2 linked regions of the Xenopus tropicalis genome follow. The protein of the gene in region 1 interacts with the protein of each later gene in a biochemical or structural test. Links are inferred from orthologs where the notes say so. Each region holds a gene or a part of one and is shown on either strand. Other genes may lie near its edges. The genes, in order: arfip1 and arf3.

Region 1 (7,592 bases):
TTGTGTATCTGACAATATCCATGAGGGATATACAATGCATTTCCAGGAAGTCATTTTGGTACAATTGGGGTCTGCAAACTATTTCATGTTCAGAACATTCAATCTGAATGTTAGATTGTTGCATTTAAACATACAATTGTATAACATCAACATTTGTCAGAAGACTAAAATCTGAACGTGTAAAGGAGTGGTTAAGGGGTAGATAGACCAACTATATTTCACTGCCTTAATATATTGGCTCCTCACCAAATGTGGATATTTAGGTAAGATCATATAGATAACATTTACTACACTACTTTCCCTTGGAGTGGACCAAGAGGGCCGGCTTTAGAAATATTATATTCTTACAACAAATTTTGAATTCTTTTATATGTGGACAGTCCAGGCTAGATGAACATAGACAATAGGTTCCAATATCAAAATGTACATGTACCTAATGTTACAAGCTTTATAGAGCCCATCCCTAAAGTAATTTAGTGAATATAAAAGGCATGCAGTGCCATACAGTACAAAGTGTTTGGCCATATAGCAAAGAAAAGTTGCATTTACAGGCTGGGCACTAATACTTGAGAAGCAGTCAGATGTTAATGTGACTGTAATGGCTGGTAGAAATCACAAGTTATTTCATAAAAACCAAGCAAAAAATAAACACCAAGTTATTTTGCTAAATAGTATCACAATTGGCGCTGTCAAGCACTTCGCATAAAGTGGCAAAAAAATTTGGGCTGACTTTCCGTTGGTTTAAAAGCGGCCCATAAGCCACCAGCCCAGGAACAGAATTTCACTAGAGTAGTGACCTTTAGTAAATCCGATGAATTTATTACACTGTAATTCTTTCTAGCAAGTGCTTATTTCACTTCTGCTCACAGCTTCATTGTTCTACCCTTTCCAACTAGTAAAATACCCCCCTAACCCTCTCTGACAAGGTGGTCCTAATCTTTTGTTTAAAAAGACAAATAAATGTTATGTTTTCTGATGCAAAAAAACTGTCTCAACAGATGCAGCCATAAACATTAGCTACTAAGCGCATAGTCAGATGGATGGCTTGGGAGACTTGGATTGATTCCACACTGTTTGTTCAACAGAATTCCTCAGAGTAAAAACCTTCCATGGAACGATGTTTATTGTCTGACCTAGGATCAACACATTGTATGAAGAAGTCTGTGTACTCTTGACCTTATAGGTCAACCATTCATATTTTGATGGAATTGTCCAACTGTTTGCAAAGCTTGTTTCAGAAATGTTACTGGTTTTATTAACAAATTGTTCAGTCAGGGAATACACATTCTCTGGGGTTTGAGTTGCAACCATGTTGTCTAGTTTTGTTGATGGCAAATCAAACTAATATTGTCTGTTACCAAAACATTTCCCCTAAAGACAAAACCACTGATTCTCAACCTGTGAGCCAACCCAACCAGTCTACTGAGGAGCAAGTTTTGTCTTCTACTGCACTCTGACGGCTCATGGCACAAGATGTAACACCAAAAATATGGTTTTAAAGAATTATTCTGTATGCAATATTTTTCAGGATTAGACATTCTTATTTTTATTTTTCTGGTATTTAAATACGCTGACACATTTGCACAGTGCTTTACAGAGATGGAGAAGATACAAACTCCTTGCAGTTGGTGCCCTGGCTGGAATGAAACTCAAGGCCCCCGTGCTGCAAGGTAACAGTGCTACCCACTAAGCTATTGGGCAGCCATAACAGTAAAGTGGAGATGTTCATAACCTCAATTTGAATTTTTGCACAGATATTTCAAGTGCACTTCACTAGTCTTCACCCAACACACCCTTAACCCAAGCATTTATACCCCCCTTTTTGTGTTTCTGTTTGTTTCCTTTTCATAACAGACTGTAAGCTCTTTGGGACAGGGATCCCAACTGTGTATTAAAACACTTAGGGGCACATTTACTAATCCACGAACGTCCGAAAAGTGTCCAAATGCGTTTTTTCCATAATGATCGGGATTTTTTTGTCGCCATGAGAGCATAGCAATTTTTACCAATTCCTGTTTGCAGAATTCCTCTCTGTCAGGCTGCATGGATAATCAGTTTTCATTCCATGAGTTGGTTTAGGGTTATCCAATTCTTTATTTATGCTACATAAAGCTCGACTACAAACATGTGATACCCATTAAACTAATTTGTGTGACTGGAAAAGATTTGGCTACACCAATGTCATATAAAGGGGTGTATATTTATGCATCAGTTATCTTGTGTTTTTCATTATTTGTTGATCAATTAAAAAAAAAAAAATGAAACCCACTGTGATTCAGTGTTCTAAGACAATAAAACATAAAAACTTCCAAGGCAGCAAATATTTTTTATATGCATTATATGATGCCTCAGATGATGCTAAGCAATATAGCAGCACATTAATGTATATGCTCAAATGTAGATATCCAGAGAAAGAATGTCCTGAGCACAAATATTTAGGCTCCAATGTTTTGCTCTTTACAGAAGAAAATTAAATATAATATATGGTATCTGTACCATAAGAAATGTAAGGAAACTATTGTCCAATGATTTTGAGACAAATCTGAACAACAATTGTCTATACTGGAGTTTTCATTCAGCTTTCAAAATACCCTAAACTGAGCTATTGGGCATTGCCCTCTTTTGTGTACCTTTGTATTACTTTTTAATAAAAGCAAATAAAAAAATAAATAAAAATGAAAAAAATACAGGCATGATACTGGCAGCTCAGTTACAGGAATGCATGATTCTATGTGAAATAACCTTATCAGCGCCAGTCCTTACCTGGATGTTTCGTACTGCTTCACAGTAATCAGGGTGTCTTCAATGGTTTTGTTAACTAGAGTATTTACGCCAGAAATAAAAAAGTTCATGGCCCCCAGAAGAGTCTCCCCATTCTTGGCAAGAAGTTTCTGCGTATCTGCATTGTATCCAAACTCCTCCTGCCAAAATAAACAACATTTATTTGCAAAACGTTCATACAAAAAAACAAACTGAGGCAAAAATATCACTGCGGGATTTAAAAGTGTATGTATGTATGTATGTATGTATGTATAACTTTATTTATAAAGTGCCACAAAGGGACGCAGCACTGTACAATCTTACAAAATACAAAATTACACACAGGGAGGACAAGTGATATAATAAATAAATACAATATTATATATATATATATATATATATATATATATATATATATATATATATATATATATATATATATATATATATATATATAAGTGCCATGTGGTATGAGACAAAGTAGGAAGGGGGTCCCTGCCCCGTAGAGCTTACAGTCTAAGTGTAGTATACACTTTCACACAACATGTCTATACTGTGCCATTTATAAACACTTTGCAACACATGTAAAATTGCTAAACACTAATGATGATGGCACTTAGCTCTGCCATTCACCCTTCCTGCAACTCCCAATGCCATACCGATTCCACTGTCGAAGAACTGTTACCAGTAACTGGTGAAGTGATTAGTTTAGTTATATCGGAGTTATAGCAAATGTTCTTGTAATGCTACAAAAAAATTATATACTGCCATGAAAGGAGCACACTATGAAGATGTTTTCACCTATAAAAAGGGCACTTAAAGGAACACTGATCCGTGTGCATTTTACTGGCACTTTTTTCTCCTTATCCATTTAGCAGCTTACATTAAAGCCTGAGCAGTACAAGAGGTTGCTGTGCAGCAAACATATTCTGCAAGGCTATCCAATAGAAATAAATTTCAGAAATATGTGTTAAACTAAACATATCTGTTCGGCTCTATTGTACCTTATACAAACTAATGGCATACTTTTTTTACAGTTCTATTATATAAACCATAAACAAATGAAAAGATTAATTATTTTCAGTGTAAATCCCCTCCATTACACAGAAAATAATATATGATAATATTTAAATACATGGGGCACATTCTAAAAAAAACATTTATAGAAAAGACGGATAAAGTAACAGCACGATATACAAAACATATCATTACCATATAGCATTTACTAGCCAATTCAATGTGATTTGTTGCTACGGGTGACCAGACTTGGGCAAACATAGTGCCTTTTATTACATATGGAAATAAGTTAAGAAACACAAGAGGAAGAGCGTCTGTTCCCGCTACAATATGAGATTACTATAACAATCATCATCATCTATTTATAAAGCGCCAACATTTTGTACAGCACTGTACAATAGAAAAATGTATACATACAGATACTGAACAATACAGGAGGTAAAGGTTGCCCTGCTTGTTATAGCTTACACTATAAGGGTATAGGCACATGGGGTGGTGATTCACTTTTCTCACCTACATTTGTATGAAAAAATGCATTTTTGGCCCAAAATAGGCTCAGTGTACCTGCACATAGGCCAATGCTGTGATGTTGAGAAAAGCAGATCATGCACCCCATATGCCCCCAACCTTACAATTAATACTAGTTTAACAATGAACATAGAAGGAAACTTTTGTGACAATGATTAAGGAAAATGTACCCTAAAATAATTATTGATAAACCACACAAATAAATGTGTACAGTATATTAGTACTGCATGCTGTTTTCATGCTAGGGGAAGCAATTTCCGATATTGTTAAAATATACGCTCACTGGCATAACATATGCATTAGCGGACAACTGCCCATAGTGTTGCAAAGGGTTCTGTGCCTGTGCTACACGGAGGCCTGGAAGGAAAGCTGCAATGACAGATAAACAGAGGTATATATGCAGTCACACAGCAAATGATCCAAACGGAGGATGGCAATCCTAATGTAACCCCAGCTAAAATGTCAAGTAAACTATCTATTGATAAGAAAGGAAAACAGACAGCTACAGGTAGAATAGACATCTGATTGGATATATGACTGGAATGCTTTAATAGTGCCATGGAAACCCTGACAAAGCAGCCGCAAACAGGACGTGCACAGCAGGACGCAGAGCCTATCTAAGTGACTGATAACAAGGGTGGGGAGCAAGAACAGCCAATGGACATGCAGAAACTACAGCCTAACAGAGACATGATCAGATTTGGCAGATTTCATTTTAACTATTGACTTTCATTCACCTGCACACAACAACATCTATTACATATATCAATTCACAGCAATAACACAAGCTCTTCATAATCAAGGTACTATTTCCCATATTGTATTGCATATTAGATGAAAGTCTCCCAATTCATTGTGCCATATGGCAGCCTTTTTCCACAGGAAAGGTGTTCAGATCCCCATGGGTCTCCCTGACAGAAATATTTTAGTCAAAAACCAAATACATGCTAATAGCCTTAAATGTATGAAACATGACATTGTTATACACAAGCAACCAGAATTAACTAGGAACTGCCACTCTGTTTGTCACTAGAGATATATCCTTTATAAATTTCCACAGATTACAATGCCAACTATATCACACATAAATGCAACTATGATGTTTTACTTTCTGTATACTGAGAAACTTCACATAATCAACACACGGCTATTTGCCAATAGGCTGCCATCGGTAATTGCACTTGTTCACATCTGGCTAGTGATCTTAAATAATCCCCATTATGATCTCTATTATCTTTGGGATGGGAATCCTCCAGGTACTTTGTTGGTGAATTGGCTCCCGATGAAAGTAATTTGTGTTATGTGCAGGTGAGAAAGTTAGTAAATGTACCATAAAAGAAAGCAAAATAATCCAATCAATGTAATATCTAATACACTGGGCAATATTATCTAAAGGTGGCCATACACGGGCAGCTTATCTGTCTGTGTTTGGGCCCCCACCGATGGGCTTATCCACCTGATATCTGGACGAAAATCAGACAGATGTTGATTCGGCAGGTTTGATTTTCCCATCAGATCAGGGATCTATAGGTATATTGATATGATCCTCGCTTCAGTGACATCAATACCCGAGGGCCAAACAGTTGGATTACTTCGATATCATTCACCTTAGGTGGGCATGTTGGGGGGGGGGGGGGGGGGAACCTCGCAAATCTTATAGTGTACGGCCACCTTAAGTCCAAATGATGCCTCACTGTTAAACTGCCTGAGCTACTTGTCTGTGGTTCCACCCATCCCTCTAACTGGCAGCTCTGAAAACATAATGATATCCAAAAAGCAACTCAGCAAACAAAACATGCAAATAACCCTTGGCTGAATGCACCTACCTACATTTAGCTAGAAAACCTCTAACCTGCTTAACTATTTACTAACCAGTTTTAATTAAACAATGCTGAGTAAAGTACACTAAGGGCTAAGACAGACAGGGTGATTAGTTGCCACAATTTTTAAAAATCCAGTTGCGGCAGCTAATCGCCACTGCTAAAGTAACAGCAACTTGTACATCTATGCACGGAGTTAGCCATCATGGCAATTAGTCACAGCGATTGTTTTTTTAGTGGCTGCGACTGTGGATTTTCACAATTGCAGCGACTAATAGCCTCATCTGTATTCGCCCTAAAACAATTAGAGATTAAGCTCCAAACACAGTGTATTTTGCAATATTTTCCTTAACTGTATTTTGAACCTTAAGCACAAAAAAATTGCAAAATAATAACAGGCAAACCAATATTGGCTGCACAGTCATAACCAGCACTAACCAACTAAAACAAAAGCAGACAGGAGAAAAGATGGAATCACTGAATTCTCTCTCTTATCGACTTATGTAAGGAGCCATTAAATTGGCTTGTTTGAATGCACAGTAAAACAACACCTGATACTTGGTAGGCACACGTGACGGGCAACACAAACTGTTCCAAAAAATTATGTAATGGCACTGATTGCAAAATCAAACACTGTTTTAATGGCTATTAAGTCTACAAGATATTACATGTAGCATAATCTGTAAAACAAGCAGCATTATCCTGCTTTCGAGTAAATGCCACCAAACACTTTTATTTTATTTTCAGTGCTGGAAAAATTCCACTAACATTAAAGACAATGGCACTTGGGGATATTCTGGGTGATTTGCCCTGCACTGGCACCTATACAATTTTGCCTGAAAAAGCATAAACATTAGAACTTTTTGGTGAGCACCATTGGCAGGTCCTAGCTCATACCCTAAACCAGGGATCCCCAACCTTTTATACTCGTGAGCCACATTCAAATGGAAAAGGTGTTGGGGAGCAACACAAGCATGGGGGTGCAAATAAAGCTATAATTGGCTATTTGGTGGCCCCTATGTGGACTGGGAGCCTATAGAAGGCTCTGTTTGGCTTTACACTGGGTTTTATGCAACCAAAACTTGCCCCAAAGTCAGATATTCAAAAACGAGCACCTACTTTGAGGTCACTGGGAGCAACATCCAAGGGGCTGGAGAGCAACATGTTGCTCACGAACCACTGGTTGGGGATCACTGCCCAAAACCCTATGAAGGACTTTTGTAACTTTAATTAGACAACTGCAAAACAGCCAACTTGCATCCACTGTTAATATAGTTGAAAAATCATAACCTTTAGCAATACAGATATGGAATCTATTATCTGGATGTTTACATGGGTTTTCATTTCAGTTATAATAATTAGTATAAGTATTCTCATATTACTGACAAAAGGCAAAATCTGTTTTAAAAGGATACTTGTATATTTTACATGGAGGTTACTCACTGCAACTTGCGTTTTATTAAAAGA
Region 2 (8,291 bases), on another chromosome or scaffold:
TGACAGATATCATTTGCTCTAACTGGCTGATTCTAGCAACAGTAAACTACTGACACCCATGGCGTAACTAGATGTTACTGGGTCCCATATCAAATTCATTTTAGGGCCCTAAAACACTGGCAAGTTGACCTGATCTACCAAGATATATTGAAATTTCTCATTATTTTCGGCCTTACAGGGACCTTTACACTACTGGGCCCAACTGCAAGTGCAGGGTCTGCTTACTCTGTAGTTACTTTTTGACTGACACGCAGCAAGGTTGAGTTGTTTGCAGAAAGACAAAAATGTTAGGTTAAGGAAGCACAATAATAAACCTTTTATGTGACAAAAGGTGAAAATATTATAAAATCTATTTGTGAGAAGGAACTAAGCATCCATTACAATTTAAAGGGGCTATTTAATACTTTATTCTGTATTTCCAAATTAAATGTTATTCAGTGACAGATTGTAAATTGCCTGGTTTCCAAAACAATGTGCAGAGCTGTCAACTTGCCAGCACCACTAGGAGGGGAAAAGTGCATCACGTGCTGGTGTGCGCTTCTTATACCCGGAAGTGACATCATGTGCATGCGCTAATGCCCGATTGAAGCCAAAAAAATTGCTACCCATGCGTGTGCAGATGCTCCGGATGATCTCACCTTACGCCTACTGCACATGCGCATCCAGATTAAACACGAATTTAGGGGAATATCAAAAATTCAGGAGAATGCTATTGGATGACAGGAGACAGGGGAGAAGAACCCAAAATCAGGTAAATCACGAAAAAAAAATGGGTGACAGCTCTGAATGTGCATCTAAAGTTCTGAGAACAGCAGATGATGACCAGACATGTCAACTCACCTTAATTTAACCCTTTCTCATTTGCAGTAAAGGGTCCTTCACCCACTGTCTGTAATTTGCACCAGAATCTTTACTTTCCCACTCTATTAAAATTCATAGAAGCGAAACTGGTCCATCTAGGTGCAATAACTTCAAGCTGGTAAGTTAGAAATGTGGATGACCCAATACAAAGTCAGCACTGCAGAGTTCATGTAGAAACATTTAGGCATGCCTATGACAAAGGCAGTAGTGCAGCACAGCATATGAAGCCCATTTGGTAGGTCACCCCTTCCAAATATATATCCACTTCCCAACATTTTGGTGGAGAAATGTATGGAAGTATAAATCACCACAGAAAAACAGATATTGGAGCCTATAGTCTTTTTTTAAAATTTTATTTTCATTGTTTACATGATTGCTGGACTTTACAATGTTCAAACACAATGGAATTATATCAATAAGTGATAAAAATAAGAAAAAAGGATATCACTCTTATAATTTTCATGACTTGTTTTTTTTAACCAGGGTAAGGGAACTGTGGAGAGGTGAGTTGTAGGGGGAGGGGTATTGGGAAAGCCTATACTCTTTAACTTCATGACACCCAGTCTGTGGAGAATCCATTTGTTTACATAAGAAACAAAAACCTATATAGGGTTGCCACCTTTTCTGGAAAAAATTACTGGCCTTCCTTGATTTTAGCAGACACAAAGGAATCTGAGAAATTAGAAAAAAGGAGGTTCCATCTTATTTCTTAAATATGCATTTTGACTTCATTAAATTATAATAACCAATACACAAATTATTCGGTTAACTCTTAGGCTGTTAGGTTAACACTTAACTGAAATAACACATGCCTTACAATGAGTTGAAATATATAAAAAGTATATTTATGAGAATTATTGGTCATGTATAACTGTGTTAAATGTCAGTGGTTATTGTGGCCCTGCTGATTTACTATAAGTATGGTCTTTTATATAACGCCCTAAAAAAGAACAAGTGCCACTAGGCCTGAACTGGCAATCTGTGCAGCCATCAACAGTCACTATTTATTGGGCTGATGGGGGGCCTGTATGGACCTTTCTGTACTTGAAATGCCAGACCCTATTTTATATCCCAGACCTGGGTGCCAACAGTTTGGGAAGAAATTTCAGCCTTCCTCCCTATTTATCTTCTGTTAAAGGAGACATATTTTATAAATGGGAAAAAACCCTAATTTTGTAGGCAATTATGAATAATATTTGAGCTCCCTATAGATACTATCAGTTCTCTGTCCCTGTTTGAAATGAAGGGTGGGCGTGTCCTAACAGTCCCTGCCAGAAGCACAGTAGGAGGGGGAGAGCCAATCACAGTCACACAAGCAAAGACAGGCTTCAGTTCCCTATGAGGTCAGCCTAGCTGCTGATTGGATCCTACAGTGCTTGTACTTAGAGCCGATGGCTCCCCTGCACATCCAGAAAACAAAAACTGTAGTACCGTGTTAGCCAGTGTCAAAAATAATAATAAAAAAACAAAACACAAATACAAGAGTATTGTAGAAATGATACCTATATTGGCTAACAATAAAAATACATTGCAAGCTTTCGGAGCTCTAAGGCCCCTTCATCAGGCAAAATACAAATTAGTATTTTTATTGTTAGCCAATATAGGTATCATTTCTACAATACTCTTGTATTTGTGTTTTGTTTTTTTATTATTATTTCTGCACATCCAGAGAATTCAGCCAGCAGGAAGTGGAACAGATGGGGGGGCTACTGGGGTTTTGGTGGAATTTCTCAATAAATCAGAAACAGAACTTTTTTAAGCTCAATCCTTCTATATCTAGAGGAGTATTATTCACTGGTACAGTCTTAATTTTTATAGGATTTAGAGAAGTTGTGTTGCCCAACTAGCTAGATTTTGAGCCTTTTTGATATTTTTCATGGCACTGCCTTGTGTATAGGCGCCTGTGTGATGAGGCTTAGCTTTTGCGAGAGGCTGTGTGGGTGCATTGTACAGATCAGGCTCTCACATGAGGCACAGGCCTGCTGCCCACTCATCCCCGCAGCACAGCGCAAGGTTGGAGCTGCTGCATCTGTTACTGTGGAAACGGAGCCAAGTCTCGCGAGAGGTCCCTAGCGCATCGCCCCACAGCTATGGGAGATATCGCGATATTTCTTCGTGGTGCTTCCGGCCGGAGAGGACAGAGGAGTCGCTGCGGTAGGGAAGGAAGAAGAAGAAGAGGAGGTGGAGGTAGGTGACAGGCAGCGAGTGTCGCTCGTTAGTGTCGCTGTTACATGCCTTCGTCGTTTTGCAAGCAATCATCACCATCAGTATATGAGCAGCGTTTGGCTTTCCCCTTCACTGAATAACGGCGGGGTGCCTGCCTCCATCCGTCATACAGGAGCTGACAATGATACCTATATATGGGGACCTCCCCATAGAGCAAGGCACCTGTCAAAAAAATGTTACATTAGATTTCCCTCAGCCCTCGCAAATGTTGTGTTTGGCTTTCTGTTTGCACATTGACTGCAAATCCCAGCATTCACCATTGGCTTTGGGGCCACAGGTAGAAAATCATCAACCTCCGTTTTCCTGCATTGTCTTGGAGATCGATGGCTTGTATTGCACCTTATACATATATAATACATATATAATACACACGGGCCTGGAATGTCAGATATGTCCTTAGAAATAGCCTTAGTCATGTCATTGTCACATGACTCACCAAAATCTGTCTGTTATAAGAAAATGATGCACCTTCTGTTATAAAATGTGAGGATATTAGAAGTCACCCTGAGTTCCATGAGCTGTATAAAAGCCCTCAGCCTCATAGAACCTCTTGGGGCTCACAATATGGCTGTATTAGAAGTCACCAAGGGTTCCATGACCACATATAGTACTTGTTTGTTTAATACAGCCCATGGAACGTCCCAATAGCCTTTTTGTATGTTATCCCACCTGTTCATTTATGACAAGATATCAAAATTAGGTAGGAGGCAAATAAAAAATGACTTTTCACGATTTTATAAATGAAATGCCCAGTCTTAACTCCCAAGATGTTTTATTTGTTACTTTACTTCCCTCCTCAGATACACGTACCCCACCAGTACCTTCATTGCTCTACACAACTCCCAGCATCTTTTACTTTGTTATTTTTAAGTTTTATTGTCACTGTCACAATTCAGTCACCATTACTGTCAAGAACACCTTCTCACACCTTCATTGGCATTCTAAACTCCCAGCGCCTTCACTGTCACACACAATCCCAGCACTTTTATTGTGACATGCAACTCCCAGCACCTTCACTGTCACACACAATCCCAGCACTTTTATTTTGACATGCAACTCCCAGCACCTTCACTGTCACACACAATCCCAGCACTTTTATTGTGACATGCAACTCCCAGCACCTTCACTGTCACACACAAATCCCAGCACTTTTATTGTGACATGCAACTCCCAGCGCCTTCACTGTCACACACAAATCCCAGCACTTTTATTGTGACATGCAACTCCCAGCACCTTCACTGTCACACACAATCCCAGCACTTTTATTGTGACATGCAACTCCCAGCTCCTTCACTGTCACACACAATCCCAGCACTTTTATTGTGACATGCAACTCCCAGCGCCTTCACTGTCACACACAAATGCCAGCACTTTTATTGTGACATGCAACTCCCAGCGCCTTCACTGTCACACACAAATGCCAGCAATTTTATTGTGACATGCAACTCCCAGCGCCTTCACTGTCACACACAAATGCCAGCACTTTTATTGTGACATGCAACTCCCAGCACCTTCACTGTCACACACAATCCCAGCACTTTTATTGTGACATGCAACTCCCAGCACCTTCACTGTCACACACAATCCCAGCACTTTTATTGTGACATGCAACTCCCAGCACCTTCACTGTCACACACAAATCCCAGCACTTTTATTGTGACATGCAACTCCCAGCACCTTCACTGTCACACACAAATCCCAGCACTTTTATTGTGACATGCAACTCCCAGCACCTTCACTGTCACACACAATCCCAGCACTTTTATTGTGACATGCAACTCCCAGCGCCTTCACTGTCACACACAAATGCCAGCACTTTTATTGTGACATGCAACTCCCAGCGCCTTCACTGTCACACACAAATGCCAGCACTTTTATTGTGACATGCAACTCCCAGCGCCTTCACTGTCAACACAATGCCAGCACTTTTATTGTGACATGCAACTCCCAGCACTTCACTGTCACACACAAATGCCAGCACTTTTATTGTGACATGCAACTCCCAGCACCTTCACTGTCACACACAATCCCAGCACTTTTATTGTGATATGCAACTCCCAGCACCTTCACTGTCACACACAATGCCAGCATTTTTCTTGTGACATGCAACTCCCAGCGCCTTCACTGTCACACACAAATGCCAGCACTTTTATTGTGACATGCAACTCCCAGCACCTTCACTGTCACACACAATGCCAGCATTTTTATTGTGACATGGAACTCCCAGCACCTTTTTGGAATACTCCCAAGATTTAGATATTGCATTAGGGTTATGTGCTGAAAAAAATGAATTGTATGGTACTGAAGCATTGGGAACATGATGTGTAAATGAATTAAGCCGTGCTCAAGAATTCAATATTGTAATATAGTATAGATCATTAATATTTATGCACATTAAATTAAAGCAATAATTAGTCATATATGCCTTCTCAGTTTGGTGTTGGAGAAATGATCCCATTGATCGATATAGGGTAGGCACAAGAGTGCTGAACAAGGCTAGCTGCACTTGTGGTGTGAGGGACGTAGGATAGGGAAGCAAATTGGGGGTGCACAGTGGCGGGCTAGCGCCAGACCATTTGGTAGCAGACACATAGGGGCTGATTTACTTACCCACGAACGGGTCGAATGGAGTCCGATTGCGTTTTTTTCGTAATGATCGGTATTTTGCGATTTTTTCGTATGTTTTGCGATTTTTTCGGATTCTTTACGAATTTTTCGTTACCAATACGATTTTTGCGTAAAAACGCGAGTTTTCGTATCCATTACGAAATTTGCGTAAAAAGTTGTGCATTTTTCGTAGCGTTAAAACTTACGCGAAAAGTTGCGCATTTTTCGTAGCATTAAGTTTTAACGCTACGAAAAATGCGCAACTTTTCGCGTAAGTTTTAACGCTACGAAAAATGCGCAACTTTTTACGCAACTTTCGTAATGGATACGAAAAACTCGCGTTTTTACGCAAAAATCGTATTGGTAACGAAAAATTCGTAAAGAATCCGAAAAAATCGCAAAACATACGAAAAAGTCGCAAAATGTTCGTTTTCAAGTCGGAACTTTTCCAATTCGGGTCGGATTCGTGGGTTAGTAAATCAGCCCCATAGTGTATCTCTTTTTAAATTTTAAACAGTTCTTTACTATGTCAGAACATTATGCTTATATAGTGAATAATGTACCCTCTATTGTAAAATATAAGGCTATATATCCTTATATAGAACATAATACACAAGATTAGATTAGATATTATATCCATATAAATGCAGTTTAGTGATGTCATCAGTTATAGTTATAACCATGCAAGGATATACATTTTACAGTGTTATTCACTGTATAACTTGCAATATGGGTCATAGCCACTATATTGTTTATTTATAAATAGCTATCTATATATAATATATCACTCATGGTTATCCTGGGAATTTACATTCCATGTAGCATATCCTCGCACTTACATGGTCCTTTTAACTCCTTTTTGCACTGACCTATTTCTTATTCAGTATCATTTTCCGTGGCTATGTATTCCATATTTCTGTTGGAAGTCCTCCTTCAGACTATAGCCAAACATACAATTAGTCTAATTAAAATCTGTTGGATTGTCTGTAAGGTAATTGAGATAACTGAGTTAAAAGCCTGACTACCCCCCAACTTAGCAAAAAACAAGGTAACCAGGATAATAAAACATAGTAAAAAAACAATCACTTCTAGATCACAGTCTGATGTGCCTTAAGTTTTTTTTCATCCCATGCTTGAGATTTCAGTAGGAAGTAGAGGTGCCTTGAGCTGGAATGCTAAAATCCTTTAAAGGGGAATGGTTGCAGTTATGTATTTTAAAATATCCACTAAACTGAGAGTTTGATCGATTATTTTTTTTTTTTATATAATTGCATTTAACCCCTATCTAAGCAGTTCACTTGCTGACTAAAAATAAGTATTGTCTACTAATGTCTAGTGCAGTGATCTCCAACCAGTGGCTCGGGGGCAACATGTTGCTCACCCCCCCTTGGATGTTGCTCCCAGTGGCCTCATAGCAGGTGTTTATTTTTCCTGGCTTGGAGTCAAATTCTGGTTGAATATTCACATATGGCCAATCTCAGCCCTTATTGGTCACCTCCAGGAACTTTTTTCATGTTTGTGTTGCTTCCCAACTCTTTAAATTTGAAAGTGGCTAACCAGTAAAATTGTAAGACTATTTCTTACCATTTTAACTAGGTTGTAAGACTAGCTCCTAGCATTTTAAGAAAGCAAAATAATAATACTATAGAAATAACATTTCAGGCCCCAAAACAGATGGCACTTCAGCAAATGAGATGACAGCATGGACACCTTGATTAAGCTTATAGAAAACTGAGTAGAATAAAGGTGTCCATGCTGTGTTGCTTTTCTCTCAATATTATTAGAATTTATTTGTAGTCATCATGCCAATTTAATCTTTAGACAATAGCAGTTTAAAAGCCACCTAGCCCTTAAGGGCTATGTCACACAAGGCTTTATCTATGCCGGCGGAGAAACCGGCAATCTGCTTCCTCGTGCTCCATATCTCTATGCATTGGTGGGAACATCATTGTAATCGGTGGGTTGGATTTTATCAGTGCAGGTTTAAATCCCATTTTTTTCATGCAGTGAGGCTTAAACATTATGTTAGAATGGTACATTTAAAGGCTGATTTAGTTCAGCATTTTTACTTTACCGTAATGCCCCTAATGCATCATCTTTATAACTACATGGGCACTAGAGAGATGGTTGACAGTGTTTGACAGCCTTTCATTTTATGCTATCAGTGTTGCAGTTTATAGAGAGCTCCAGCATAATTACTGCACATAATCTCAAGTTCATATATAGCTTCTCTCTCTTGCATCTACTGATTTATATACATTTTTCTCTATTAACTGCAACTCCAAAGTCAATGACTTATATCACGGCTGCCCAAGGTCTGTGCTGACGACTTTGTATGTCACCATCATTTTAATATAGTTTGATCCTCAGAGGTGGATTGTTGGATGATTGCCCCTCTGCAGCATAGAAAACTAACAGTATATGGGTCACTGTCAGCAATGAGGTTGTATGTTCTCCCTGGGTTTCTTCCCACATCTTAAACATAAAGGTTAATTGGTTCCTGATAAAATTGACTATAGTGGGTGTGTAAATGAGATATGGACCTTCTACTCATAGGCCTATATGGCTACTTTCCTCAGAATTAGATGCACGCACAC

Evidence for each region.
Region 2: the proteins of arfip1 (region 1) and arf3 form a complex in vitro, tested with the Homo sapiens proteins (2 studies listed by BioGRID). The link is inferred for Xenopus tropicalis from reciprocal best matches to the Homo sapiens genes ARFIP1 and ARF3.

Annotation. Positions count from the first base shown.
Region 1 is NC_030677.2:55,328,080-55,335,671, forward strand, and holds part of arfip1 (arfaptin-1), read right to left. Parts: intron 2,922-7,592; coding exon 2,764-2,921; intron 1-2,763. UniProt on the Homo sapiens protein: Plays a role in controlling biogenesis of secretory granules at the trans-Golgi network. Mechanistically, binds ARF-GTP at the neck of a growing secretory granule precursor and forms a protective scaffold.
Region 2 is NC_030678.2:136,290,986-136,299,276, forward strand, and holds the start of arf3 (ADP-ribosylation factor 3), read left to right. Parts: upstream 1-3,002; 5' UTR 3,003-3,048; intron 3,049-8,291.